Lonchura striata: one gene and its partners. The protein of the gene in region 2 interacts with the protein of the main gene of each other region in a pairwise test. Links are inferred from orthologs where the notes say so. Each region holds a gene or a part of one and is shown on either strand. Other genes may lie near its edges. The genes, in order: ATOSB, CEP70, LAMTOR5 and DDX6.

What was found.
Region 1: the proteins of CEP70 (region 2) and ATOSB interact in binary tests that used the Homo sapiens proteins (3 or more experiments, as listed by UniProt). The link is inferred for Lonchura striata from reciprocal best matches to the Homo sapiens genes CEP70 and ATOSB.
Region 3: the proteins of CEP70 (region 2) and LAMTOR5 interact in binary tests that used the Homo sapiens proteins (3 or more experiments, as listed by UniProt). The two-hybrid records come from large-scale screens. The link is inferred for Lonchura striata from reciprocal best matches to the Homo sapiens genes CEP70 and LAMTOR5.
Region 4: the proteins of CEP70 (region 2) and DDX6 interact in a two-hybrid assay, tested with the Homo sapiens proteins (2 studies listed by BioGRID and IntAct). The two-hybrid records come from large-scale screens. The link is inferred for Lonchura striata from reciprocal best matches to the Homo sapiens genes CEP70 and DDX6.

What each region holds. Positions count from the first base shown.
Region 1 is NC_134642.1:40,208,335-40,216,349, reverse strand, and holds the start of ATOSB (atos homolog protein B), read right to left. Parts: upstream 3,014-8,015; 5' UTR 2,932-3,013; intron 1-2,931. UniProt on the Homo sapiens protein: Transcription regulator that may syncronize transcriptional and translational programs.
Region 2 is NC_134610.1:9,371,813-9,379,236, forward strand, and holds the start of CEP70 (centrosomal protein of 70 kDa), read right to left. Parts: upstream 3,024-7,424; 5' UTR 2,946-3,023; coding exon 2,937-2,945; intron 2,504-2,936; coding exon 2,404-2,503; intron 2,251-2,403; coding exon 2,127-2,250; intron 1,809-2,126; coding exon 1,628-1,808; intron 1,312-1,627; coding exon 1,142-1,311; coding exon of another isoform or gene 1,138-1,141; exon of another isoform or gene 749-1,137; intron 47-748; coding exon 1-46. Other genes in the region: FAIM (fas apoptotic inhibitory molecule 1), read left to right, coding at 5,208-5,251, 5,883-6,018, 6,379-6,607.
Region 3 is NC_134632.1:1,406,561-1,414,249, forward strand, and holds the start of LAMTOR5 (ragulator complex protein LAMTOR5), read right to left. Parts: upstream 2,916-7,689; coding exon 2,881-2,915; intron 1,197-2,880; coding exon 1,135-1,196; intron 614-1,134; coding exon 496-613; intron 1-495. Other genes in the region: embryonic pepsinogen, read left to right, coding at 2,914-3,060. UniProt on the Homo sapiens protein: As part of the Ragulator complex it is involved in amino acid sensing and activation of mTORC1, a signaling complex promoting cell growth in response to growth factors, energy levels, and amino acids.
Region 4 is NC_134625.1:11,073,731-11,080,774, reverse strand, and holds the start of DDX6 (putative ATP-dependent RNA helicase DDX6), read right to left. Parts: upstream 3,005-7,044; 5' UTR 2,862-3,004; intron 1,270-2,861; 5' UTR 1,185-1,269; intron 935-1,184; 5' UTR 671-934; coding exon 471-670; intron 1-470.

The DNA of each region.
Region 1 (8,015 bases), on a different chromosome or scaffold from region 2:
CAGTCGCTGCAAACAGAAGTGAGGATCAGAAACATGGTAATATGGCATTACCAGGATACAGAGGCCCACACAGATCCCTGGAAGAAGGAGGTCCCTGGGAATCATGCAACATGGAGAGACATCAGGCAAAAGCCTCTCAGAGAAGACTCTCACAAAGTAACCTGCAACAATCTCACTAAGTAACCTGTTACAAACCATCTGCCAGCATACAAATATCTCCTTTCAGGATTTATCCCATGCTGCCCTTCACATCTGTACTGTTTCAAACCCAACTCATTAATTCCTCCAGCTACCAAAGCCTCTGATAATTTCATTACAGCTCCATTGACAGCATGCTGAGGACACCACTTTTCTAACCATATGGCTTCACTTTCTCCTTTCTTGTCTGTGGCCACATACTTACCAACAACAGGTTTTCTTATTCTGCATCAGGAAGTGTCCTGGCACCCAGTCATAGTGCATTTCTACACATCACACAATGGTGTCAACCAGATCTAGCAGAGGACAAACCTGGGCAGGCCCAGAGCAATAAGAACATGTAAAGGACTTGGGAAGAGCCAAGAGTCTTTGACTTTGAAGACTCAGATCAACAGCCATCCTCTTCAATCACCCTCAGACTCAAAGAACAAAGTTCGGGTATCTCAGGCCTCTGGTACTCAGCACAGTCATGCAGAAATGTGCCAGGGCAAGCAGCCTGTAGCAGACAGCAAGGAGGAAGACCGGGGCAAAGATGCACTTCTCCTCAGTAAGCTGCGGCTCTGAACAATGGAGTTCCCACAGTACAGAGTGACCCCACCAGATTTCCTTCCTTCAGTGGGTAAGAAACCTCTCACATGAGGAATAGAAACAAGGCGTTTCACCCACTACCCCGGGTGAGTGGTACAGCTGAAACAGCCCCAGCACTGCTCCAACTGTGGGTGGACCTTGGTCCAAAAGCCCAGTTCACCAAGGGACATAGTTGTGGTGACAGCAGGGCTCTGCTGTCCTGACCACCCTAGTCTCTATGGGAAGGGACATGTCCAGGCCCCACCAGAGTCAGCAGGAATACAGTATTACGGTTAAATGTTATGGGAGCAGGGGCTGGAGGTCAGGCAAGGGCAAGTGTTGACACCCTGGCAACAAACACTGTGGCAGCAGCATCCCTCAGAACCAGCCCCATCCGAACCCCTCAGCCCTGCCAACTCCCACCAGTGCCCTGCCCTAGTGCTGGGACTGCATGCTGGCACTGCATGCTGGCACATGTAGAGTCCCCATCAGCACCCTGCCACTCACTCATGCTGAGACCCAAACCATGGGAATTGCTGCTGTGAAACAAGGCGGTGACCAGGCTTTACAGGATGACTTCATTCTCCCAGTCCTCAACCTAAAGCCCAGCCCTGCCAAAAGTAACTCTAGCACTATCACATTGGGAGTTTTCTTCTATGTCACCTGCCGGACCTTGTTCACCTCCTCGTGCTACCAAGCTTGCCAAGACACTGCTTTGTGTCAGGGTTCAAGCTTGCTACAATCTCCACAATTTCTCAACTTTTCCTCTTTACTGATGCCAACAGATACGATTCAGGGAGAGGGCAGGTCTGCAAGCACATCTCTGCTTGTCTGATGTTTTTAAAAAGGCAATGAGTGGAAATTACTTTTAAAATTTAAATTTAGAGCACAACATTCCTCTACCATGCATTTTCCACTGCAACTGCAAATTCCACACGCCTTCTTTCAAAGAAAAATAATAAAAGGAGTGTGGAAACCCTGGAGGTGTGTGCCGTTCATACTGATGGATTATGTTCACGGGTGGGTCGTGAGCAAGCCCACCTCAACAGCAATCACCATGCAGCCATTTCCTCTGACTTCCCTAATAGACCACCTTTCCAAACCTGACACCCGGGCTGCCGTTTCTGTATAAAACCTGCAAGATGCTTGAAAACCTCGGTAGGACGGCAGCTGCTGATTTCGGGAGGGGAGTGCCCCCGACAGGCCCTTCCGCCCGCGGCTGGCTGTCACCAGAGGGCGGCGGATGCCGGGGTTCACATCCGCCCCGGCGCCCACCCCGCACCCCACGCCGGGGCCTGGGAAGGGACCCCGGGGCGGGTGCCGCCCGAGGCGCGCCTCCCGCGCCCCCGGGGTACCCGGCCCCACCGCCGCGGGCCGTGCCGGGACAACCCACCACGTCCCAGCTGGGCTGGAGCTAATGCCCGCGGGAGGAAGAAAAAGAGGAGGAGGAGGAGGAGGCCCCACCGTGCGGGCAGAGCTGCAGACAGGCTGTCCCAGCCCATGTCACAGCGCAGAGGACGTGGCCCTGGTGGGCGAGACCAGGGGCAGCGCAGCCTCCCTAAGCTGCCGGGGAACTGGGAGCCGGGATCGGGGACACCCCGCAGCAAAGGCTGCACCCCGTTTCGGTCCACACCTGCCTCTGCCAGACACTGCCCTCCCGAAGCCTCAGTTCCCCCGGGCACCCCCGGCCCCCCAGAGTCGCTCTGCGGTCACACCGCCGCCTGACCCCCCCGCCTCGGCACCTCCTGCCACAGCCTCCGCCGGTGCCAGGCCTCTTGCCGGCCCAAGTGCCCCGGCTACAGCTCCCCACCTCGGTCACAGTCCCCCACACTCACAGACACCCATCCCGGTCACGACCTCCCCAGCACAGAGACCCACATCTCGGTCAAGGCCCCCCACCGCTCGCAGTTGCCCATTCAGTTTACGACCTCCCCCATACTACCCGATCACGGCCCCTCCTGGTCGCGCCTCCCCCAGCTCCGGCTCGCCCCTGCGGTCTGGGCTCCAGGTCCCAACGGCCCTCCCGAACCTTCTGGAACCGGAGGACGGCGGCAGAGATGGGGCGCACGAACCCGCTCGCACGCCGCACGGGGGGCCCGTCCCCGCCGGACCCCGGCCGTGCCCCGCGCCCCCCGGCCCTACCCGTCGCGGCCCCGCCGGACCCACCAGCGCCCCCTCCGCCGCTGCCGCCGCGGCCCCGACTGTGCGCGGCTCCTGCGTTCCTTCCGGGTGCCGCTGCGGACACGCCTCCCGCGCGCTGATTGGTGCTCTGGGCGGGGCAGGGCGCGGGGCGGGCGAGCCGCGGGGCCGCGCGGCCAATGGGCGGTGAAGCCCCGCGCCGAGACCCCGCCTACGGCCCGCCCCCTCCACGTGCGGGAGTGTGATGACAGCGGGGAAGGGGCGGGCCCGGGCGGCGTGGCGCTTCATTGGCCGGCGGCGGCGGCGTGGGCGGGGCCTGGCTCGGCGCGGGGCGGGACTGCCGCCCCTGACCCTGCGGGCTGAGGGGGCACCCCGGCCCCACGGGCGCGGCGTGTCCCACCCACGGCCACGGCGTGTCCCACTCACGGGCACGGCCTCACGAGCACGGCGTGTCCCACTCACGGGAGCGGCCCCACGGGAACGCCATGTCCCACCCACGGCCACGGCGTGTCCCACCCACGGGCACGGCCCCACGGGCACGGTATGTCCCACTCAAGGGCACAGCCACCCCAAGGGGCAGCCGTCTCGTCCCTACCACGTCCCACCCCAGAGGTGCCCCCGGCCCCACGGCGTGTCCCACCCGTGCACACACCCACGGGCACAGCATGTCCCAACTCCACAGTCACCCTTCGCCCAGCACCATGCATGCGAGCTGTGCCAGCCCCAGAGATGACCCTCCCTGCCCATGGAGATGGCCTCCCCAAAGTGAGACCCCCGCGGTGTCCCTTGTCTCATGCCCCGAGTGGAATCACCCTGGTGTTCCCCACTCCCCAGCTGGTGCTGGTGCCCCACAGGCCGGGGCCATCTACCCACACTGCCGGGCTGTGCCGGCCTGTGCCAGAGCCCACCGTGGGCACCGGACCCGGGGGGCAGCTGCCCCCCTGGATATGGCTGCTCAGAGATACCAAAACACCCAGCAGCCGTGGGGTACCTGGGCAGTGCCACCCGCTTGTGGGGATGCCAGCAGGATCCACTGCCCCGAGGGGAAGCAGCCCACAGCTCACCAGCCTGACCACGGGCCATTTAGGTCATGGAAGAGATGCCTTGACTTCATCACTTTTGGGTGAAGTTCGGTAAAGATCAGTCCCCCAATCGACTTTTCTCTCTCCTCAGGAAGCTACAGCTGCAACACCACTCTAAAAATAGTGGGGACCAGTATCGTCAAATGATAAATATAACCAAGATCTCCTTTTCTGACAGCACACAGTGAGTTGGATGTGAACCTGCAGTGCACTGGCTGCTGAGTCCCAACGCTCCCCTTGCCTTGCTGCTGATCCTGGGGCATTATTTTCGGAGGTGCTGTCATCGATAAAGCTGTGCTGATGCTGTCTGGGAATAGCCATGAGCAGGACAGACGGTTCTCTGACAGCCGTGCCCTGCACGTGCCTCTCTGCAGGGAGAAATGGCAGCTCAATGTCCTCTTGACAGCTATGTGGCCATGGAGCAGCAGCTGCCAACTCAGGACCCCATCTTCTCCTGGGGCCTCAGATTGCTGCTCTAAGCAATTTCTTGTTAAATAACCCCTGGCTGTCCCCACATTCAGCTTGTGGGCCACTAAAGGTATTTAATGTATGGAACAGTCTAATTTCTGAGTGTAATGACAGGAACATGTGATTCTCCAGTGTTCCTTGTGACTTAGGAGCCGCTGACTCAAACTTTGTGTGTACAGGTGCTGGTGCCAGGAAGAGCCCAGGAAGCTCATTTTCCCCACATGCCCATTTTTCCTTCACAGTGCAGATTTTCTACAGACTTCCAGGGCAAAATTTAGCTTTTCTGTCTTTTGACCCTGCATGTCATCTCTGCTGAGCTGACAAGAAATTCTGGAGTCCAACAGGAAGGCAGCAGAGGCTATGGAAACCAGGGATGGGCTGAAAAAGGCTCAGTCCCCATCACACAGCTGCTTACACAGGCTGTGTTCTCCACTGTAAACTGGCTGAAACGAGTTCACAGTTAAAAAATGGTTAATGAACCTTTATTGGCCTGAACAGGAACTCAACTGGAACAACTTCAGTCAAAGCTGAACCACTGTGGAGCTGAATCAAAAAAATTTGCTGGTTCAGCTCCTTGGTTGGGGGGAAATATAGGCTCCTTTGTCCTTGACAAGAATAATACATTTCTGTTTATTGTGTGGGCAGTGAAGGATTAATAATATCCCAAGTTATTTACCTCCCGCTTCTGAGTGCTGAGGGTTTGTGAGCGATGTCCCTGCTGAGCACACTGTCCCTTAGCAACCTCCCCTGGTTTTTGAAACATGTTCTCACTTCAGAAGCAGGATTAAGGAGCAGGACACAAAAGCCCCTTTTACCAGTCTGATGGGGTGAGGCTGCTCCCATTGCTCTTCCCATGGGGCAGAACCTCAACTATGGCCACTTGATGGGCACAGTAACACAAGCTGTGGTGATTTGGAGAGCATCTGGAAAAACTTCCAGAGGCTTGGGAGGTTTGGGGATGGAGCAGACTTACTGCACAAGCTATATTACTTCTCTACAGAGGGGCCCACCCTAGGCCTTGCCAGGAGTAGCCTTCATCTATTCCTTACACACACTGGGGACTTGAAAAGGGCTTTACAAGGGTTGGTGAAGGCAAACAAGGGGTTTAAGCACATTAGGCATGGCTTTGCACCAGAGTTGGCCACTTTCCAGACTCGCCTGCCAGGAGGGCTGGGAGAAGGGTGTTTTCCCAGGAAGATGAGGTGTCCCAAGCAGCACATGGTGAAATGACGTCCTTCCGTCTTGAGCCTTTCTGCCTGCAGGGCTTCCCTTTGAAGGGTGTCCTGGTGAGGTGACTGAGTGGTGGTGAGTTCATCCCTGGGTTACCTCCTTCCTGGAGCTGCCAGTGCTGCCCCAACCTGCCTGCAGCGAGCTGGGGCTGTTCAGCCTGTTTGCCAGGCTGGCTGCTCCCACTCAAAAGGCTGTCAGGTGCCAAGCTCCAGGATGCTGAGGAGCTGACACAAGCAAGGTTCCTGCCCCAGTTTTAATTTAATTTAATGGTTTTCATCATGGAAGAGCGGCATCCCCATGCACACACTCATTTTGTTGGTGTGGGCAGGTTTCACAATTGCAAAAGTGCCCTTGAGAAGTACATGGATCATCTGTCAGTGCTGATGGGGCAGGATGTGCCTGTATAGGGGTGATGCTACCCCTGCATCACCTGTACACTCCCCGTGCCAGCAGGCTGTGCCATACCATGTACATCTGATCCAAGTCCATAGGTAGGTAAAGCAATAAAGGACCCATGTGCAGAAGCAAGCCTGGTAAGACTTGGAGTCCTGCCAGCAAGAGATTGTTGGGAATTTTAAAAGGACCTTGGAAGAAGCTGGTGGAAATCAGCTATCACGTTGTTTTGGGGCCCTTGGCAAGTGGTGGCAGGTTGGGTGGGGTGTGGATCAATGGCAGGGCTGGACCAGGCACTGTGTGGTGACTCATGGCCTCATCCCAGCTGGTAGAGGAGCTGGAGAAAGCTGAAAAGACAGGTGTACTAGAGGAGCATAGGGTGTCACTTCCTTTCTTAACGGTGTGTTGCCACAAAAAGGCTTGCATTTTTGTATCTCTCACAGTCCCAGTCCTAGGCATGCAGCATGGACTGTATCTTCTGCAATGCCTGCCTCTGTGGAGTTTAATGCTTCTTGTCCTCCCTGTATTTTGCAACTAGAGGAGACAAAGGCCAAAGCCTGTCCCTCTTTCTCTGAGACTGTCACAAGGAGAAGATGCACTGTAGTGCCCTGTGGTCCTGTGTTGGAGCTAGGGAATTTTCCTGGGGGAATGTGAACCAGTGCTGCAGGACCTTTCCCCCGCCAGAACCTGGTTCCATGATGTGCTTGGTTTACCTGTTTGACAGAAACAGCTGTAAAACTGAAGATAGAAATCAAACTTGGAGAGTTTCCTGCTGGGGGAGTCCTACTGCCCTCGGGGGAAGAGATGGCATTCTCTTTTGGCACTGTGGGAATTCCTTCTGGTAACATCTCCAAGCAGAGCTTGGGGTCACAATAGAGATGGAGTCACTGTGGTATGCTGACTGAGTCCCAGTGCCCACCAAAGCCTCATCCCAAACTGGGCATGTCTCAGAGTCCTGGTGGGAAAGGAAGAAGTGAGAATGATGGATTTGAGATCACTTTAACAAACACAGGGTAGTAGGGCCAGGTAGGGCTGCTCTTTTGCTCCCATACCCACACTATACTCATAGTTCCAGTGTTGCCTCTCCTATTAGCTGTCTCCCAGCACCTTTGTAGAGGAGGGCAGCATTGTGATCCCCAAGGTACCATGGTGGGCCTTAGAGACCAAGGAAAAAAGGATGGATGATCTGGAGTCTGACACAGGTCATTAACCCAGTGCTACAGACTTCACTGTTGTCTGAGACACACATGGGACTTCCCAGAATTAAACAGGAGTCCTGGCTATGTACAAAACTCGAAAGATCTGTCCTGGAGATGCTGGCAGTCTGGGTTCTAAGGGATAAAGGCTGTTGGCTACAGCTTGGCAGGCTAAGGTTGCTCAGCAAGAAGAATTTCTATGTAGCCCAGGGCAGGGATCTCTGAAGTACAAAGCCATAGAAAATATGATGTTGTGTTGGTTGCATCCCATTCTGAGCAGGAGGTCAGACTGAGGATGTCCCTGCCTGTCCCTGCCACAGTGTTTCCAGGGCTGGAACAACACCTAGGGACTTCATGTGGCTGTTCAGCATCAGGAAAATAATCCCTGTTCTCTTTTCACTGTTGGAAATGTAGAGCTCCAACTGCTGCCACTTCACCCCTCAGGGTCACCCATTGTCCTAGACAGTCTGACTTCACTTAATGGCCCTCTGCCTCAACCTGCAGCTGGGGAGCTGTGGGACGGGCTTGGATTAAAGGTGGCATAAGGGACGTGCTCTGAAGAGGATGCCGGTGATCTGGGCGAGCTCTGGGAGAAGTGCCTGGCCCCACACACTGGATATGTGAATGGTCCCCTCCCTCATTCTCTTTTCATGCCTAAGCCTCTCCCCCTACAGCTTCCCTGCAGAAATGTTTCATTTCTTATACGCCTGCCTTGAAAAGAAAATATTAAAAAAATAAAACC
Region 2 (7,424 bases):
AATCTGACTAATTTGAGATTCATAATAATCAATTAGACATAGGTACCTGAAGAAAGGAAAAATGTTAATTTTGAATTTCAGATATTCTCACAAAACTCATAGTGACCAACCCAGATGAACAGCTCAGCTTATACAATGCACTGCACTTTGAAAGTGGCTGCTCCAAACAGTGCAGTTTCTCTCATACCAGAAAAACACGGTCACACTTTGCCAAAATGGAAAAGTAGACACATTGAATCTGTACTAGTTCAGAAGCAGCAAAATATTCAAGAGGAGAAAAAAGTTAAATCTGCCCACCAGTGTCCTCATCTTATGCCTGTGGTTACCCAGCAAGATTAACAGAGAGGCACAGTCAAAATAAAGTGTTTTGAGCACTCAGAGATTGTCTGGTTTGGAGAGACACATGAGAGACGACAGGGAACCAAATCTAGGGATCCTTCCTCTGATACAGTGAGAGCTCAAGGAAAAAGCTGAGCACATACAATCCCTCTTAAAAGTTTCCCAGATAAACATTGTTGGCCAGGCCTAGAAAGCCAGGTGATATCAGCACAATAAAGCAATGGCTAGGTTTAGGAATTGGCCAATGTCTGACTGTAGCAGAGCTATGGAAATCCTACTAGCAAGAGACGAAGCCTTGTGACACTTTGGGAACTCACCCAAAAGTACTTGGAAGCTCACAGGAAGCCTCCAGTCAGCAGTTGCAATCACTTCCCAAAACTGGAAAGGCTCTTTTTTTGGGGGGGGGGCGGGGCTAAGGATGCTGTTTGTTGAGGGGGTTTGTTCATTTTTAACTTCCTTAATTTACTTACTTAAATGTCAGCATCCCAGGATGAGATCATCCTAGCTGCCAGCCACTGCAGCTACAGAGCAGAGTGAATCATTCCCTTCCCTTTGCTGACATCTAGTGTGGGCAGTGGGTGGCAATTGTTAAATTTCTGCCATGGATTTATCTGGCTTACAGTTTCACAAAAGAAAAATATCACTGCACTGAGGTACCTTCGCAAGACTATATATTTCATCTTGTACTCCTAAAGTCTCCAGATTACTTCTTTTTGCCATATAAATATTGAGAAGCATTACATTAAAATCTGTTTCTTCATTTACTGTTGCAGAGATTCAGCAGTAGAAGAGAATCACTTACCGCTGATCCAGGAGAGACTTGGGAGCTCTTCTGCAAAACTGACAAAACATTTTGTTTTGAATGTCAACTCGCTGCTGCTCCTCCCTCCCAACTCTCCTCAGCTCCTTCTGCAAGCGGGCAATAATCTCTTCCTGTTCTTGCAGCTTTTCCTGCTGCTGTTGGTATTTTACCTGTGAACAGGCAACAGGAGTGTTACTGAATTGTAATGACCCACACACTGACTATACCATACAAGCCCAGGTACACACCTGGAACCAAGGAACGTGAGCATTTGGGTTTTAGCCATGCTGAAGAGACAGTCTAAGAGAGATACAGATACTTTTCAAAATTATTTCTAGAAAATTCTGCATAGTTTGAGAATACTTAGCTATCAACAGCGTACTAACCCTATGACCCAAGAGTCATGTTTATTTAGATCAATGTAAGTATTCTGAGATCTTCTGTAAGTCAAAAGTTTGAATCCTCAGGCAGCACTATCTGAATTACCCGTGAAGCCTGTTGTTCTTTTTGAAGTTCCTTGACTTGGTTCTGTTGCTGGCATGCCTTAGCTATTGTTTCATCTTCCAGCTGACAAATTTTGGCCTTAATGTTTTTCACCACATTTTCCAAATCATTAGCCCGTTGCTCTTGCCGAGATGCCCGACCTTGTTCCAGTCGTACCACATCTCTGAAAAAAGAAATGAATCCTTGCTTTTAAATTAAACTCATTTCACTATAGACAGTGCATAAAGCACACACCTGACATTATGTGATGACCTCTGATAACATCCTGTGGCAGCAGGTGTGGGAAATACACTGATATGAGAAGAAGCAGCAGATGAAACAAGGGGAGAGCTTGAAAGGAACTGGGACAATATTGCTGCATATTGAACAATAACCTCAGGAAAAAGGTCTTAGGCCTCTGGTGAGATAAGATCTCCACCAGGCTGGAGTTGCACACTGATAATACTTTTACTCTGCAGGTAAATTCCTTCCACTGTCTTACCTAAGACATCGATTTGCTTCCATAAGTCCCTGCATCACCTTTTGCTGTCGCTCAGTGTCTTCCACCAGCGTTTGTAACGCAAGTCTTATTTCTTGAGAAGACTGATGGTCTAGGACAATCATATCTGGAGACAGAGAACATAAGCAAAGTCACCATGAAAGGGTTTGAACAGCCAAAGAGGATTTGCCTGATTGCAGCCACTAGGAAGTGACAGCTTTGAAGATGCCTTATCAACTTAGGGTTACTATTTCCAAATAAAAAAATTACATTTCCTTACCTGATGTACCTCTGCAGCTTTGGGGGGCAGCAAGGCTCACAGGTTTCAACCCATGACGCATTAATACCCTGTTTAAGTTTTCCCACTCTGTTTTCTCCTGCTGCATTGGGAGAAAGGGAAAAAAGGCAGATACCTGAGTTCTTTGCATCGGCCGTGCAGCACAAGGTACCAAATGCCCACAAATTAAAGCAAACAACCCCAAACCCCCAGGGGGCCGCTACAGGAGGGTTTGTGAGAAACTCCACTACGATCTGCAAAGCACACTGGGGAAACGCGTACTTAACACCACACAGTATAACCCGTTTTCCTGACCCCTACTTGAAAGCAGAACACGGCGCAATGAGTTAAATCCGCCTCTTTAGGAAACGCGAACCACCACCCGCGGCTCCCTCCACCGCACCCGGGGCGCAGCGGCCCCGCCGCGCGCGGAGCCCTCAGGGAGGCGGCGGCGGCTCCGGGGGCTCGCGGACCGCTCCGTCGCGTCCTGTCCCGCTCCAACCCCCCAGCAGCGACGCCCGGGGCCAGCGGGGTACCTCGGCCATGGCCGCGGGGCAGAGCTGGGCCGCGGGGCCGCGGGGCAGAGCGGGGCAGAGCGGGGCGCTGCTCAGGCCGCGGCGCCGCTCGGGCGGGAGCGGAGCGGCGGCAGCGGCGCGCGGGGGCGGCGCCGCGCGGCCGCCGCCATTTTGCGGCGCGGGAGGCGAGGGGAGGAGAGCGGGCGGAGGTAGGAGCGCGGCGGCCGGGCGTGGGGCTAAGGAGAGCAAAAAATAAAGACTGGGGAAAAATGGGAAAAACTTGTTGCTGGCGGTAATGGCTGGGAGCACGTCTGGCGTCCGGTTTGCGCTTCCCGGTACGGCGATGAGCGCTGCCGGGATTAGGTGGATGGGCTGGGAGCTGTAATCCCAGGCTCGTTTTCAGAACCGTGTAAAGGAGGAAGCACTGCCTTGGGCTGCTGAGCTGGTCAGGGAATGGAGGCGGTGGGTGCAGCTGCTGTGTGTCCCTCCTGGAGCAGCGCACGGCTTTCCCTTGGGACGCGGTGGGATCGCCTCCAGCAACCACCCCTGGCCTGGGGTCAGCCTTCGGGCTCGGTGTGAAATAAATGTGTATTGCTTCATTACCATGATTTCAGGGAAAAAAAAAAGTGTGTTCTGGGATGCTTCCCAACCCTTTCAGCATTGATCCTACAATCCACGCCGCAGCGCCGGGGCCTGCCCGGGGCGATGGAGGCTCTGGTGTGTGAGACTCTCCGGGCATCTCCTGCGAGCCCCGGGCCGCCCCTTGTGCTGATCCCTGCCGGGGAACAGTCCCTGCCTGCTCCTTGAACAGAGGAGGGAAATATTCCCTGCCTGCTCCTTGCAGCAGGGGAGGGAAATATTCCCTGCCTGCTCCTTGCAGCACAGGAGGGAAATGTTCCCTGCCTGCTCCTTGAACAGAGGAGGGAAATGTTCCCTGCCTGCTCCTTGAACAGAGGAGGGAAATATTCCCTGCCTGCTCCTTGCAGCACAGGAGGGAAATGTTCCCTGCCTGCTCCTTGAACAGAGGAAGGAAATATTCCCTGCCTGCTCCTTGCAGCACAGGAGGGAAATGTTCCCTGCCTGCTCCTTGAACAGAGGAGGGAAATGTTCCCTGCCTGCTCCTTGAACAGAGGAAGGAAATATTCCCTGCCTGCTCCTTGCAGCACAGGAGGGAAATATTGCCTGCCTCTCCTTGGAGCACAGGAGGGAAATATTCCCTGCCTGCTCCTTGCAGCACAGGAGGGAAATGTTGCCTGCCTGCTCCTTGAACAGAGGAGGGAAATATTCCCTGCCTGCTCCTTGCAGCACAGGAGGGAAATATTCCCTGCCTGCTCCTTGCAGCAGGGGAGGGAAATATTCCCTGCCTGCTCCTTGCAGCACAGGAGGGAAATGTTGCCTGCCTGTTCCTTGAACAGAGGAAGGAAATATTCCCTGCCTGCTCCTTGCAGCACAGGAGGGAAATATTGCCTGCCTCTCCTTGCAGCACAGGAGGGAAATGTTGCCTGCCTCTCCTTGGAGCACAGGAGGGAAATATTCCCTGCCTGATTCCCACCGTGTGCCCGGTGATGCTGCCTTCGCAGGAACCAGAAATTTCAGGAGTGGCCAAAAACACCCCCTCGGCATTTGTTAGCACTGTTTGTTTGTTGATAGGTACAGACAAGATAATAATGAAATTAATGAGTGAAAAAAATACATTATAAACCGGTGGTTATAAAACACCATCGTGTAAGAAATTAGTTCTTTGTGGCTCACATAGATTTTGTGACTGATTTGCCAGGTCAAATTTAGTAATGTGCTTGTTGAAAGCTGCTACAGTTGTTTAGAAAAGGGAGGAGGTGGAATTACTGCCTGTGCTATTTCTAATCCCAGTTTCATTACGGTCTGGGACTGAGATGCGCAGCTCTGGATTAGGTTCCTGCTTTGGTCAAGTTGTTAATTTCTAAGCTTTGTCTCACAAATCAGGCAGCCCATTTTTCTGTCCGGTAACTGACAAAGTTATGAGCAGCTAGTGAAGGTAGGACACTCTACTAGCACTTACTTGGTTTTGTAAAATATAATATTTTTTTAAATACACTTGCCTTTCTGTCTTAGAGAAAGATGGTTGTATTTTAAGTGTTTTTATTTTATCATATTTATGACAGCACTGCACGCTAGTTAATGATGCTTTTAAAAATTGTCCTTTATCTTAGCTGGAGAAAATGGTGAAACTTTAGACTTCAGCACTTCTCTCCTACTATTCTGCTTTTCTATTTTTTCTTGCTGCTAATTGGATTAAAAGCTCTTTTGGCTTCTATGGCATCCGGTGAGGAGATTACTGTCTGTGACGATGAAGTAAGGTAAAGAATCAGAACTGTGATATGAGCAGATTTTGAAAGATATCCACAGTTCCAGTGGTCACTTATGACTGTATCTAAACTTTAAAAATCACTTGAATAAAAGGATATCTTGCCAGATCCCTTCCCCTGTGTCTGTCTGTGAAGCGTTGAATATCTGAATGATGTAGGTAGTGTTTATGAGATTAGAGTCAAATCTGTTAACACAGGAAATCGTTTTTAGACTATTTTTTCAAGTCTAAAAAGCTGAAACACTTTCTTTGACACAAATCAAATAATATGTTTTAATGCCTACCAAGAAATAACAGAACTATCCAGGAGTATCTTAAAACTAAATGTAATTTTGTTACCTATTGTCAGCTGAAATGGGAGTTTTAGAGGTTAGATGGGTAACTGTGTCTTTGTACTGTTTGTCAGAATGAGTCTGCTTAACTGTTTGTATTTTGTGATGTTTTGTCATATTTGAATGTCTGAAAAACATTAAAATATAAGCTGTTCTCTAAGTGTATTCTTTCAGTTGTCATTTTGTATTTCAAAAAATGCAAATACAAAAGCAGAAGAAGCAGTAAAGCTTTGAACTGCAGACATCAGGACTTCCAACAACAATTAATTTACTTTGTTGGTTTCTCCTTAGGTCTCGGTACAGCCACTTAGAGAAGATGACAGATTTGGTGGCTGTTTGGGAAGTAGCTTTAAGTGATGGTGTTCATAAGATTGAATTTGAACATGGGACCACTTCAGGAAAGCGTGTTGTCTATGTTGATGGAAAGGTGAAATTGCTATGTGCTCAAAATTCACTGTGATACAGATTATATAAGTACACTTCCATGCAACACACATCACAACAAACAAAAGACTAATAAATGCGAGTGAGGTTCATTCAGTTAATTACCTAATTTAATAACATGCATCATTCTTTTTTTTTCAGTTCCAATTAAGGTGTGAGTATTCATGAAGTGCTTTGCTGTCCTTGGACAGGGGCACTCTATGCATACAAAGCACCATGTATGCTTTCATTCCCCAACAGTAGTTCAGTACTGAGCTGTCTCCCGAGTTCCAGTTCAATTTTTTAATATTAAAACATGCACTCAGTTTTTTCAATTAATATCCACTGTCTTTTTTTTCTACAGGAAGAAATAAGAAGAGAATGGATGTTTAAATTAGTGGGTAAAGAAACATTCACTGTTGGAGCTACTAAAACTAAAGCTGCTATTAACATTGATGCAGTCAGTGGCTTTGCATATGAATACACTTTGGAGATCAATGGAAAGAGTCTCAAGCAGTATATAGAGAACAGGTTAAAAACAACCAATACTTGGATATTGAACTTGGGAGGTACAGACTATAGAATTGTTCTAGGTAAGTAAACATTGAGTGACTACATGTTGCTGCCTGTGAATAAACTTCTGTGCATTTAAAAACTGGTAATTAAGAAAGCACAGTTGAGTGGGTAGCTCTGATGCGGTATAAAATCCTGGGGGATGTGGAAATTTGGAATGAGATGCCAAAGATAGTCTGACAAGTAATGACTTGTTATACATGTGTGAGTCTACAGCAGTGTGGTCTAGATTTGGGAGACGTTACTGCTGCTGCATCCATAGAGCTGCCCTAGCAAGGCAGTTCTTCAGGTGAAGACTGTTAAAATTTTACCTTCATTGTGATCAAACCTCATGTGGGTCTAAGTTTGTTCAGCAGGTAACCAGGTTTTCCTTCCAAAAATCATCAGCCATGGTCAAGAAGTCTTCATCTGAAGTGCAACAATGTTATTTCACATTTTTGACATGTGGATAGATTGATGAACAGCCTTTTTTCTGTATCACTTCTTATGTACAAAATTAAACTAAAACCCTCCAGTGATGTTCTTTCACTTTCTTAATGGTAAATTACAACTACCAATACATTGTTTCTCTTCTGCCCCCTCTCTCCCAGTTACATTACAAGCAGGTGGGAGGAAGGGATGATCCCTTGAGGAATTTTTCTGTGGCATCTAGTGGGAAAACTTCCACTTGGGTATTGCTGTATGGTTAGAGCTGGAGACAAGAGATCTCAGACTATGATTTCTTCTTAAACCTCAGGACAGAATGAACTGCCCTAAGATGAAGGGAAGCAATGAAGAAAGACAGTTTTAGTGCCAGAAACAGATAAGTCTTCACAGAATTTTAATATCCCTATGCTT
Region 3 (7,689 bases), on a different chromosome or scaffold from region 2:
GAGACCCAGGACTGTCACCCACAGGGACCCAGGATTGTCACCCACAGAGACCCAGGATTGTCATCCCCAGGGAATCCCAGGCTCTGTCACCCACAGGGACCCAGGACTGTCATCCCCAGGGAATCCCAGGCTCTGTCACCCACAGGGACCCAGGATTGTCACCCACAGAGACCCAGGATTGTCACCCACAGGGACCCCAGGCTCTGTCACCCACAGGGAATCCCAGGCTCTGTCACCCACAGGGACCCCAGGATTTGTCACTTACAGGGACCCCAGGCTCTGTGACCCACAGGGACCCCAGGGGGAAGAGCTCCTGAGCTGCAGGAACCAGCAGCCCCTGGAAGGTTTCCTGCTTCTTTTACATCCCCATTAACCCAGGGACTGTGCCTGTGGCAGCCTCTCCCCACAGCTGCTCCAGGGATGTGACTCCAGGAGTCTCCCAGGGCTGGGGCAAGGCAAGGTGGGGCCAGCAGCAGCTGCAGGCTGGGGCCTCACCCGCTGTCCGACTCCAGGCACACCACGGGCGTGTCCGTGGGGTCCGAGGTCAGCTTGGCCGCCTGCTGGGCCAGCACCGAGATGATGCCGGCGTGCTCATCCGACAGGGTTCCCCTGCCTGCAGGGGTGGGAGGGCTGGGTACACCCCCTGTGCCAGGGCAGTGCTGGGGACAGGCTGACTGTCCCCCCAGGCCGAGGGGCTTGGTCCTGCCTGGCTCATTTCCCTCCCTGGCCTGTTTCCCTCCCTGGTCTTGCCCCAACCCATTTCCCTCCCTGACCCATATCCCTCCCTGGGGGCTGACTCAGTGTCTCCCCAAATAGTTCCTCTCCCTCCACCAGAAACCCCGAGGTGAGCTGTCAGGAACAGGCAGGTGGTGGCAGGGCAGGTGTCCCCAGAGTGGCACTGGTGCAGGACAGCTGGGGAGGGGGGGTCTGTAGGGCCGGGTGGTGTCCCCATCCCGGGGAGCCCTTCAAAGGGAACGGGCAGGACTGGGAGCACCCCAACCCCCCGTGGGCAGCGCCGGGACCCCCCAGCCCTGGGAGCCCCTGGAGGGGCCGGCAGTGCCAGGAGCCCCTGGAGGGGCCGGGCAGTGCCAGGAGCCCCCCAGTGCCCCCCACGCCCGCCGGTGCCTCACTCACAGCCCAGGTTGAGCCCCTGCGAGTCGGTGCACAGCACGCCCACCACGGCCGGGCTCTTCATGCTGGGGGTGACAGCGGCCTCAGAGCCGGGAGCGCAGCCCGGGACAGCCCCGGTGCCCCTGGCCCGGCCCCGTGTGCCCCATCCCCCTGTGTGCCCCCATGTTCTCCATGCCCCCCCAAGTTCCCCATATCCCCTGTGTCCCCCACGTCCCCCATATCCCGCCCCATGGCTCCTGTGCCCCCATCATGTCCCCCCCATGTCCCCCATGTTGCTCATATCCCCACTGTGCCCCCCCTGTCCCCCCACGTCCCCAAGTCACCATATCCCCTCGTGTCCCCCATATCCCCTATATCCTCCTGTCCCCAAGTCCCTCCATGTCCCCCCACATCCACCTGTATTCCCGTGTCCCCCCATATCCCCCCGTGTCCCCCATGTCCCTGTGTCCTCCCTTGTCCCTGTGTCACTGTATCCCCTGTGTCCCCCTGTCCCCGAGTCCCCCCCATATCCCTGTGTCCTCTCATGTCCCCCCGTGTTCCCCCATATCCCCCCATGTTCCCTGTGCCCCCTCATATCCCCTATGTCCCCCCCCCACCCCCCATGTCCCCCCATATCCCCCATGTCCCCTCACATCCCCCATGTCCCCCCACGTCCCCGTGTCACCATATCCCCCGTGTTCCCCCATGTCCCCAAGTCCCTGCAAGTCCCCCATCTCCCTCCATGTCTCCCCGTGTTCCCCATATCCCCACTGACCCCCCACATCCCCATGTCACCATAACCCTCCCACGTCCCCCCGTCCCCAAGTCCTTCCATGTCCCCCCATACCCTCCATCTCCCTCGTGTCCCCCTGTGTCCATGTCCCCTGTGTTCCCCCATGTCCCTATGTCCCCCCACGTACCCGTGTCACCACATCCCCCGTGTCCCCTCACATCCCCCGGTGTCCCCTCACACCCCCCATACCTCCCACATCCCCCATGTTCCCCATACCCCCCATACCCCACACCCCTGTCCCTCACGTCCCCCATATCCCCTGAGACCCCTCACATCCCCCAATGTCCCCCATATCTCCCGTGTCCCCCCCAGTCTCCTCACGTCCTCCATGTCCCCGTGTCCCCCATACCCCCCGTATCCCCTCACACCCCCCATGCCTCCCACATCCCCCATGTCTCCCACATGCCCCATGTTCCCCATACCCCCCATACCCCACACCCCCGTTCCCTCCCATCCCCCATATCCCCTGACACCCCTCACATCCCCACGTCCCCGTGTCCCCCCGTGTCTCCTCACGTCCCCCATGTCCCCCATACCCCCCATATCCCCGGTGTCCCCTCACGCTCCCCATACCTCGCACATCCCCCATGTCTCCCACATGACCCATGTCCCCCGTACCCCCATACCCCACATCCCTGTCCCTCCCATACCCCACATCCCCCCACAACTCCCAAAACCCCCGTGTCCCTTCCATCCCCCATATCCCTCACACCCCCGTGTCCCTTCCATCCCCCATATCCCTCACACCCCCGTGTCCCTTCCATCCCCCATATCTCCCCATACCCCCTGTGCCCCTCACGTCCCCCATATCCCCTCACACCCCTCCCATACCCCCGTGTCCCTCCCATCCCCTCACACCCCCCACACCCCTCACACCCCACACCCCCGTCCCTCACGTCCCCAATATCCCCCCACACTCCCCATGTCCCTCCCACCCCCCCACACCCCCGTGTCCCTCCCACCCCCGTGTCCCTCACGTCTCCTCCAGGTGCTGCTCCAGCGTCGCCTCCATGGCGGCTCTCCGGCACTTCCGCCCGTACGGCGGCTCCGCGCGGCCAAAAGCGCTCGGGGCGCGCTCGGCTCCGCGGGGAGCTCGGCTCTTGGGGCTCCGCACCCGCCGGTACCGTGCCCCGCCGTGCCCCGCCGTGCCCCCGCCGGTACCGAGCCCCGCCGTGCCCCGCCGAGCCCCGCCGTGCCCCCGCCGTGCCCCGCCGTGCCCCGCCGTGCCCCGCCGTGCCCCGCCGGTACCGAGCCCCGCCGTGCCCCCGCCGGTACCGAGCCCCGCCGTGCCCCGCCGAGCCCCGCCGTGCCCCCGCCGTGCCCCGCCGTGCCCCGCCGTGCCCCGCCGTGCCCCGCCGTGCCCCCGCCGGTACCGAGCCCCGCCGTGCCCCCGCCGGTACCGAGCCCCGCCGTGCCCCGCCGTGCCCCGCCGTGCCCCGCCGTGCCCCGCCGTGCCGCCCGGGGCTTGCAGCGCCGAAGGAAACCCAGCCGCGGTTTGAATGATGCTCCCGGACTCGCCGCGTTGCGAGCGTGGAGTCACAAATCCCTTTCCCGAGGTGCTGGCTCCTGGGTGCTGCCCTGAGTTCTTCTTTATTTTATCCAGGAAAAATCAAGGTTGAGGCAATTTGAAGAGTGAAGGTGGATGTGAGAAGCCAAGAGCTTCCTCCTGTGGTTTTTTTTTATCCTGGCACACGGTAAAATTTGGGATGTGAGGCTCAGCAGCATCAGCCGGAGCAGGGCTGCTGGAGACCTGACTTTAATTCTTTTTACACTTTTCAGTTGTGTACAGGGGAAAACAAAATTCCGAGGGGCATCGAAGGCACTTGAGACGACATTTCGTGTTCAGACCCAGGAGTTTGTTATTCCTTACCAATGTTACGGTCTCACAGCAGCAAGTTCTGCAGGTTTTTATTAGCAAAGTACAAAATTATTAACTGTCCCTTGTTATAATTTCGTTTAAGGCTAAGTTATCTCATTAAGAAATGATAATTGCATTATTTTCACTTTTAACCCAATAACTAATCCCTTGAAGAGGACTTTTCTGTCCAGTTACAAAACACCAGCCAAACCCATGGAGAAGGTGAAGAAGGAGCAGCCTTCACCCTAAAACTTCTATTTTGCTCCATATTTATTGCTAATTTCTAAAACCCAAACTCTGACTTTTCCACCCTGTAATATTAACACACTTTTAACCAACTCCACACCACAATCCCAGTTCTATCTGCTGCCTGCAGCCACCCCCAGCCATGGTAAAGAAAGAGAAGGAATTTTAAAAAAAATCAGCATTTACATCAAAAAAACACCAAATAAAGAGATAGTTTCCCTTCAGGCAGAAGCAAGACTTAATCACAAAGTTTAATTTGGGGTGTGTGCAGAGCTGCTCCTGGAAAATCTGTGGAGGTGGGAGCTGGGCAAGGGAGCCAGTGGGGTTTGGGGGAGTTTGGGGGGTTTTGGTACTCTAACATCACCAATTTTTATTTGTTTGTTTTTTTGTTCCTATTTACTTATTTGTTTCTTATTTATATATCTAGGTATCTATTTATTTCTATATTATATTATATTATATTATATTATATTATATTATATTATATTATATTACATTATATTACATTATATTACATTATATTACATTACATTACATTACATTATATTATATTATATTATAATTACATTACATTATATTACATTACAGTATATTAATCTATTTATTATTTATTTCTTCTATTTCTCTATTCATTCATTCATTTGTTTCATGTACTCATTTCTATTCCAGTTTATTTGTGAAGCCCCCCAGGTGTGGCTGTGGCAGGCTCTGCATTTCCATCCCCTGTGAAGTCGTTATTTGGTGTTTGAGGCAAAAACTTCCCTGTGCTTGCTTCCCCCCGTCAAAAACATCCAAAATTGGGTGAAAATAAAACACTGCCAAGACCAGGATGAATTTCTTTAGGTTGTGTTTTTTTACATCAGGATTTTTTTCTTTTTATTGGTGAGAGAAAATCCTCCTGAGGGGAGGCTGCATCCCCAGGCCGGTGAGTTTGTGGCACCCAAACCCCCCCAGGAAGGGCTCCCATGGCAATAAAGAGAGGAAAAAAATCAGAAAAACCCCCACAATAATTCATAAAACTGTCAAAAATATATAATTTTATGTTTTGGGTTTCTTTTATTAAACTACCTTATTTTATGAGCTGCCTCTGGCCTTCCACAAGCTTGAAAATGGGCAGAAAGTGCTATAAATTTGAGAGTTTTGCTTAATTTTTAGACATCTCTGGGTGGAAAATATTACAAATTCTTTTCTCCCAGCAGATCTCACCACAACAAAAAGAAACAAAACGTCTTGGCAGCTTTGCTGGAGCTCACCCTGGGTCAGGGGAGGCTCCGTGTGGTGGAAAAGTCTCTCCTCCAACCCGTGCTTCTAGGTAATGGGGAATATCCTAGGGAATATCCTTTTAACTTTGAGGAAATAGGAAATATCCTTTTAACTTCTAGGAAATAGGAAATATCCTAGGAAATAGGAAATATCCTAGGAAATAGGAAATATCCTAGGAAATATCCTTTTAACATCTAGGAAATGGGAAATATCCTTTTCTCTTCGAGGAAATGGGGAATATCCTTTTAACTTCTAGGAAATGGGGAATATCCTAAGGAATATCCTTTTAACTTTGAGGAAATAGGAAATATCCTAGGAAATATTCTTTTGACTTCTAGGAAATGGGGAATATCCTTTTAACTTCGAGGAAATAGGAAATATCCTAGGAAATATCCTTTTATCGTCTAGGAAATGGGGACTATCCTAGGGAATATCCTTTTAACTTCTAGGAAATGGGGACTATCCTAGGAAATATCCTTTTAACTTCTAGGAAATGGGGACTATCCTAGGAAATATCCTTGTAATTTCCCCCTGGAGGAGCCAGCTCCCGCGGGGGATGCGCGGTGGCGAGGCAGGGACCGGGAAATGATCCCGGTGGCGGTGAGCGGAGCTCGGGGCTCTTTGATCCCGGAGCTCCTCCCCGCCGGAACGGAGCCAGGAGCCGCCCGGGGCCGAACGTGCGAGTCCCCGGCTCTGCTTGATGTTCTGCTCCAAGGTGAAGCGAGAGGTTCCTCCGCGAGAGCCCGAGCGGGGCGGGAGCGGCCGGGAACGGCCGGGACGGGACAAGGACACGGCTGGAACGGGAGTGGGACAGGGATGGGACGGGACAAGGACACGGCTGGGATGGGAGTGGGACAGGGATGGGATGGGACAAGGACAGGGATGGAATGGGACAAGGACAGGGCTGGGACAGGACAAGGACAGGGCTGGGACGGGACAAGGACAGGGCTGGGATGGGAGTGGGACAGGGATGGGATGGGACAAGGACAGAGCTGGGACGGGACAAGGACAGGGCTGGGACGGGACAAGGACAGGGATGGAATGGGACAAGGACAGGGATGGGATGGGACAAGGACACGGCTGGGATGGGACAAGGACAGGGATGGAATGGGACAAGGACAGGGATGGGATGGGACAAGGACAGAGCTGGGACGGGACAAGGACAGGGCGGGGACGGGACAAGGACAGGGCTGGGACGGGACAAGGACAGGTATGGAATGGGACAAGGACAGGGATGGGATGGGACAAGGACACGGCTGGGATGGGACAAGGACAGGGCTGGGATGGGAGTGGGACAGGGATGGGATGGGACAAGGACACGGCTGGGACGGGACAAGGACAGGGCTGGGACGGGACAAGGACAGGGCTGGGACGGGAGTGGGACAGGGATGGGATGGGACAAGGACAGAGCTGGGATGGGAACAGGACACGGCTGGGATGGGACAAAGACAGGGCTGGGACGGGAGTGGGACACAGCTGGGACAGGAGCGGGACAGGGATGGGATGGGACTGGGACATGGCTGGGATCAGGACACAACTGATATGGGACAACAACACAGCTGGGATGGGACCTGACCAGGACATGGCTGGGATGGGAATGGGACACGGCTGGGACGGGAGTGGGACAGCGATGGGATGGGACAAGGACACGACTGGGATGGGACAAGGACACAGCTGGGATGGGACAAGGACACAGCTGGGACAGGAGCGGGATACAGCTGAGATGGGACATGGCAGGGCTGGGATGGGAGTGGGACAGGGATGGGATGGGACCTGATCAGGACAGGGCTGGGATAGGATCAGGATACAGCTGGGATGGCCAGGATGGGACAAGGACATGGTTGGGATCAGGACAGGACACAGCTGGGATGGGACCTGACTGGGACAGGGCTGGGATGGGATCAGGATACGGCTGGGATGGGACTGGGACATGGGTGGGATCGGACTGGGACATGGCTGGGATCAGGACATGACTGAGAAGGGACAACAACACAGCTGGGATGTGACCTGACCAGGACATGGCTGGGATGGGATCAGGGCAGGGCTGGGATGGGACAAGGACATGGTTGGGATGGGACAAGGACACAGCAGGGATGGGATCAGGACATGGCTGGGATGGGATCAGGACATGGCTGGGATGGGATCTGACCCAGACATGGATGGGATAGGAGCAGGACACAGCTGAGGTGTCACAAACCCACACACGCCACATCCTGCTCTGAATGTTCCACACCTAAAATAATTTCATGGATAGTTTCCAAACAGCAGGGGAATATCCTCTATTCTATTCTATTCTATTCTATTCTATTCTATTCTATTCTATTCTATTCTAATTATTCTCCTCTCTAATTCTCCTCTCTCCTCCCTAATTATTCTAGTCTATAATTCTCTTACCATTCTATTATTTTATTTTATTCTC
Region 4 (7,044 bases), on a different chromosome or scaffold from region 2:
ACAATGAGGAGATCAGGAACTACTATTTCAGATCAATAACAGAAGATAACTGACTTTAAAGCATTTTTCACCATGGGAAAGAATTACAATAAACTGAAAGGCAGAAACAATTAGACTGAGACCAGGTGGCATTTCCTCCTCAGTCTTAAACGTCAGCTCAGTTCCCTCCCACTCCTATACTTCCTTCTTGCACCACTTCCAGCAAGCAAAAAACACAGGATTCAAAAGCTGGGCTACCTCTGACAGTGGCTCACACTCAGAAAAGCACAGGACCAAATTGGATTTTCACAAAAATTACTGTTAAAGAGAGAAGCTCACATGTGGAAATACTTGTAATGCACATGACAGGACACTTCTAACCACCCATGTGACAAAACAGAAGGCAGCATTTTCAAAGTGGGAATCCAAGAATGCTTTCCCATACATAACTTCTAAACATTCCTTGCATGGCAGCCGATACAAACACTTACTTAATAGCGGTGGTCATACTCTGTGCTTGCTGTTGAGTGCCATTATTGATTGTGTTGGCATTTTTCAGCTGGTTCATCTGTTGCTGAGTTTGTGTGCCTCCACCTCCTGGGCCCCCGCTGGGTTTTACAGGGCCTCTCAACTGCCCATTCTGACTGGATAGACCCATTATAACAGGGTTCTCTGTTCTGGCCGTGCTCATGCTTTTATCTTTAAAGATGTCTTTTTAGACTTCAAAACTTTGAAAGTCAGTACAGAAACTGTAATAACAGTTTATTAGACTCTCCAAAATGAAGAGATAAATAAGTCTTGCTCAATATATGAGTCCTTTATTGCAATGCAGGCAAGCACCTGTAAGTCACTCAAAAGTAAAGCAGTAACTTGCTCTGATGCACTGTGGAACAACTTTTTTTTAAAAAAAGCCCTCTATTGAAGTTCAGTTATATCACAATTCACTTGCTTCAATCTGAAAGAGAAGCAGACAATAACAATTAGCATATGGATTTTTCTCTGTGCAAATCACATCAGTTTACTTTTGTATTTTAAGAAAAATTTCTTCCAGACTGTGTGCAACAACAGTACTTGCCGTTTTCGTGATAATTATAAAGACATGCATCAAACATTTTTTGTCTTTCTAGAAAATGTTGCCTAACATCTTCAGACATCAAAGAAAACTTCCCAAACAGCTGTACTTTCAGCGACCTTCCACTACCTACCCCCTCTGATAAAGTAACCATTAAGTGTATCAATTGCTTTGATGGCTCTCCAATTCCCCCACTTCCGTGATGCAGCCAACCAGCCCTAAAACGTGAACAACAATATTATGCGTAAATTTGTGACAAGAAGCAAGACTACAATATCAAGCGGACATTCCAGTTAGAACTGACAAAACCCTTACATTATAAACTAATTGCCCTGTTTGGTTTGAATGGGAAATATAGATTATGCAAACCAAACCAACAGCTTACATTCCTCCAACCCAAAATGCTAGCTCAACCAGCTTACCCCCAGTTTTCAACCAGGTATTGATTTAAGGCTATTCAGAAGAGCGACAAACCAACACCATTACACTGAACTGAGAGCAGCTGCCTCTTGGAGTCAAAGCCACTGAGCTTGAACTGAGGCAGCAACGCTGCTGGTTCCCCAGCTTCTTGCTTGTGATCTTACCTTCCCACTGTCAGCAACAACTTGTGTGGTCCTCAGAAGATAACATTTCATACACATGACTTAATATTGACACTGTATGTAATAGAGAGGTTGCAAAACTATGGAAAGACAACACGTAGTCTGCCTCTTACATAATGCAAGTATGGACCAGAGCTAAAGACTCCTTACAATGATACCAGGGAGACAAAACGTCCCTAGTCCAAAATCTTTTGGAATGAAAAGTAGGCTCGCCTTGAGCATCTGCATCTTGGGAAAACACAAAGGGAAAACCAGCAGACTACTGCTTCCTAACCTCTGCATTCACAACAAAATGCATGTCTTCCCTGTGAATAAAAAAGCATATTGAAGAGCATTTCAAGAAAGTGGAAAAGGAATTCAGACTTCCCAGCTGTTTTAAGGTGTGTTAGTGCTGGCTTCCAGCAACATTGGAAAGTTTGCGATACTAGGATTTTCTGCTAGTTAACTTTCAAGGCATCTTCGGAAAGATACTTCTTTTAGCAATTAACTTCGTAAAAACCAGAGGAGTTACGAAGGCAGCCAGAGACGCCAATGAGACCCGACTACTAACACCGATAAGTTCTCCAATGGTGTAGGAAATGAAACCTCTCAGTCCCTTATGCCTTCAAGCTCGTAACTATCCTTTTGAAGAGCACAGGTTAAAAAAACCGCACAGTCTCACGGAACCCAAAAAAATCTCCCTGTTCCGATAAAAAAACCGCCACCATTTTGCAAACCAACGGACTGAAAAAAAAGGGCCTCCGTCGCATATTTCTGCTCTCCGGGCGCAGGCGGGCGGCCAGGGCAGCAGCTCCGGACCTCTCCCTTTCCGCCGGCTGGGCCCGGCACAAAGGGAGCCCTCGAGGTGCTCAGCGCGCCCGATGAGCCCGGGCCGCAGTGCAGAGCCCCGGGGCAGAGCGGCGGGCCCGGCGCCGCCCGCCGATCGCAGCTGCGCCACACCGGCACCTCCCGCCCGCGAACAATGGAGCGGCCGCCCCTCGCCGCCCGGGCCGGCGGGGAGCGAGAGCCGCCCGGCCCCGCCCCCGCGGTGCCCCGGCCCCGCCGCTCCGGTGCGCCCAGGCCCGGTCCGGCCGTCCCCGCCCCGCCCGCGGCGTCGCCAGGCCCCACTCAGGCCCGCGCTCTCGCCGCAGGCCGCGAGGCGCGGCCCGCCGGCAGCGGCCCCCTCACCCTGATCCCACGGAGCCGCGCCCGCCCTGGCCCGTGCTCACCGCCACCAGCCGCGCTCCCCCTCGCCCAGGTACAAAATCCTCTCGCTCCCCCGGTGCCTTGTTATGGCGACTCGACGCTCCAAGATGGCGGCTTCCTCCTTCCTCCTGTGCGCCCTCCCCCTCCCGGCGGGTGGCACCGGCCCCGCCCCGGCCCACACGCACACGTACGTACGTACGTACGTACGTACGCACGCCCGTACGCTCGGCGTGCGTCACGCCGCACCCAGCGCGCTCGAGGGCGGGCCGCTCGTCCCCTCCCTCAGAGCCGGCCCTCCCCTCTGACCCGGGGAGCTGACCGGGCTTTGCCGTTAAAACAGAGCCAACACAAACCTAACAACGGGGGTCTGAGCCACAGCCTGCAGGAGTCGTAACCGCCGACCGTGACAAGCTGGGGATTGGCATTTCTCTTTAGATAGCTGTTACTTAGATGTGGATTTTGACAAACCGAGACACAGTGGGAATGTAATCTTAGTAGTGACTGCTTTGCAGACAATTTTTTCTTCAAATGTTTTTCCAAAATACATGCAAAAGGACAGGGACATTCCTGGTTTTATCTAGTTCCTCACAGCTCCAGCAGTCTGTAGGTGGTTGTCTTTCCACCCTCAGCAGCAAAAGGCACAAGCTCCACCCTCCAGTTGTAGCTGATTGCAAACATCCTTCCTGGCCTCTCGTCTCCCAGTGATACCCCACTCCTCGCCTTGCCCCTCAGCCCTCGCAGCACGGGGTTCAGGACAGGGCTTGCTCAGTCTGTGCTCTGCCTGTGAGTGAGGCACAGTGCAAGCTCCCTGTGGCCTCCCTCCGGGTCTGCTGCTCTCCATCCTGTCAGCAGAAAATGCCCAGGAGCTGATGAGCACCTGCAGGTGCACACAGAGGTCCTCACGGTATGGGAGGACAGCGACATCCTCGGGGCAGCTGGTGCCCAACAAGTCGGGGTCTAAGAAACAGGAGTGGTGTAATCCAGCAGTGCTCATGGGAATAACACCACCTTCTCCTTCACAAGTACAAAGTCCCACCAGAGTCCTTGCTGGTAGAGACGCCTTGATGCAGCTGTACCTAGACGAGAGGAGGACAAAAACTGTGCTTGGCAGACCACCTCAGCTCCGCGCACAGGTAAAGCTTTCTGCCAAAATGCCAGCTGCAATGCCAACCTACTCTGCTGACCCAGACCACTGTGAGTCTGTTGCTGTGACATCACTGAACAAAATGCCTTTCCCCAAGCAGAGAAGATCTTGATTCTCCTTACTTACCCTTGTGAAGTCAAGCTGCCTAGCCCCTGCTAGCCCTGCTCTAGACTTGCAGAGTAGCTGCAAGGCTTTGCTTTCCTGTGCAAGCCACCTCACACCCCCCCCCCCCCCCAAGCCCAAAGGAGGGGTGAAGCAGCAGAAGGAGGAGCAGAAGACCACTACAAGTCAGTGGGGTTAAAGCAGCCAGGAGGACCCCAAGGCAGAGGGTGATGATCATACAGACCATACCCATGCTTCAAAGTCCTGCACAGCTCCAGAGAAGTGCCTGGATCCAGGAGGTTTCTGGTAAGGGTGGTCCTTAGCACAGAACTTTTCAAAGCCTTTTGGACCACCTGTAACAAAGACAGCTGTGGGCAAGGTTTCCAAGGAAGACCTAAATATGTTCTGGATCTTCTGTGGTATAGATCAAAGGAATAGGGACTCTTCAAACTCTACTTTAAAAATCAATTACAGCACTAGTAAAAAGATTATAAAGCTAGATGTTAATCTTTACATCAATCAGGTCACTCTATGCCTGGAGCTCATTTGCCTTGCAAATACTCTATTGTTACAGTCTGTGTCCCTCCCCACTCACTTAAATTGTTAACTCCACCTCAGAAAATAACTTTTGCAGCAATTTCTGGAGGAGAGACGGATCGTGCCCCTCAAACCATGGGGCCTGTCAGCTACTCATCAGAGACCTATGACTTGGTGAGTTGGGCCTGGCTTTGCTTGATAACAGGGATGGCAGGTAGAGCTAGGGTGGGCTGAAAGGCCAGATTTCTGGCCATCCATCTTCTAACCCTCCTGTTGGCAGAGGCAGAGCTTGAGCCATTTCTTATGCCAGCATAATTAGTCCTTGCATCCCTTAAATCCAGACTTGACTACAAGCTGTTGCTTGCAGAGAGCTGGCGTAGTGTGGCTCCAGCCTGTGATGCAGGGATGCTGGGTATTCTGTTGGGGAAAGCTAACGGAACCTGTACTAGCAAGCACTAAGCCCGAGTACTGTCCTTTCATGAGGACACAGACCAGAGTCTCTGCAAAGGGTCAGGAGTCTCTGCCAGAGTGGGGCTCCAGCAGTCCCATCCTGTGCTGCCAGCCTCTCCCTGCCTCTGCTTCCTGCTGCCCTGCTGTCTGCACAGCCATTAGCACAACATGGGCATAAAACAGTTATTCTGAGCCAGGAACCTTTTGCACCAGGCTTCAGTAGTACAAATGACTGTGTACACAGTGTGCAAAGCCCTGTACACCTTCTCTGGTCTCCTTTGACAACTGGAATACCCAAGCAAACCCAGTCTTCTCTCTACGTGTGTAAAAACCCTTGGTATGGTATGACCACCCTGCTTACTTGCTCCACATACAGGCTTCCATACATATGGCTCCACATATACTCTGCTGAAAGGGGAACACGCAGTGTATTTACAAGACAGGATTAAAGAGTGGGAGATAGATTGCAAGTACTACTTCTAACAGAGAGTGATGACACTAGGTATTCTACCTTAGTTCTCTTCCCAGCCTTTACAAGTGAAAAAGAGCAGCTGTACCTTATACAGTATGTTGTGCTATCCAACGGGAAGAACACAGCAGCATTATCATTAACCTGGTTATCAAATATTGCATCTCAGAATTTATTTTTTTACTACAGTGGCTCCCTGCAGCAGACCTCAGGATTAATTATTCCAAAAAGAGAAATGTTGGATTCAATTGTTACCTGATTTTCTGTTCTTCCTTTTTTCCTACACACCAGGGAAGAGCAAGCCCTACCCTATTTATTTCTTTTCTGATTCATCCAGTATAAAAACCCTTGGCAAATAGTGGTCATTCCTTTAAAACTCTTTTGGAGAAGACACTTCTTTCCCTGACCTCTGTTGAAGTTCAGTGGCAGCGCTAAAATTTCCTGAGGGGTTAAAACCAAACTCAAACCTTTTTCATCTCATTTTCTTTGCATACAAAACTTACATAATCCTTAGCTTTGTGATTTTATCTCTGCTGTGAATTCTTTTACATAATAAAGAAGACCCCGTGTGAGTGGAGGGTTGGGTGGCAGAACCCAGCTGATTTTAGGACTAAACACCCACAGTCAGGTGCCACAGCAGGAAGAGTTTTAGACCTTTTCTCAGACTTCTGCAGTTGGGAGTTTGATATGTGTTGTTTCCCACCTCTGTCTTCTGGCAGCTTCCCAGATTTGGCTCCCTCCCTGGAATAGGGAGGCCGCAGATATCACATGAGCATCAATGTATTTGCTTTGGTGGTGGCATATGTTGCTTTACTTATACTCAGTGCTTGTAGCAGCAACCTACCCATAAAGATTTGAAAAAAAAGGCCTCCAAAGTGTCTTGTCAAGGTGGCAACACAAACTCTGCCTTGTGCAGAGAGGATCGTTTGATCAATTGAGCAATTATGGAAGGAAAAATTATGAGAACATTTACACCAAAAGGGCATTTATCTCAGTATCACACAGTGAATACAGTGAGGGCCTCACGTAAATTTTGTTATCATATGAGACTTTTGACTCTGTAACCTTGCAGAAAAGTACCGTGTCCAAAATGATAACCCCATTTCTCCATAGCAAAAATGCTTTGCCTGCTAACCTTCCTCATCTGCGGACTAGACATCCAAAAACAAGTTGCAGAAAAACCACTGAGATCTATACTAGGTTCCCTGAGGTTCCTTGGCCCAGTTTTCATTGCAATGGGACCACCATGACTCAAGAGCGTTAAGGCACCTACACTGCAGTAACATGTAATTTCCACAGGCCTTGGTCTTATTCCTGGATTTCCCTGGTTCAGCCCCTGCAGAAGTCATGAGCAGAAGCTCTGTCAGTATATTGTATTGATGTGGGCAATTACAGTTCTGAGGTTTTCAAAATGAGATTTGCTGCTCCCAGCCCTGGCATTGACTAGAAGGGAATGATTCACATGGAAAATCCGTAACAGTGGACAAGCTGCTTCACTTCTACA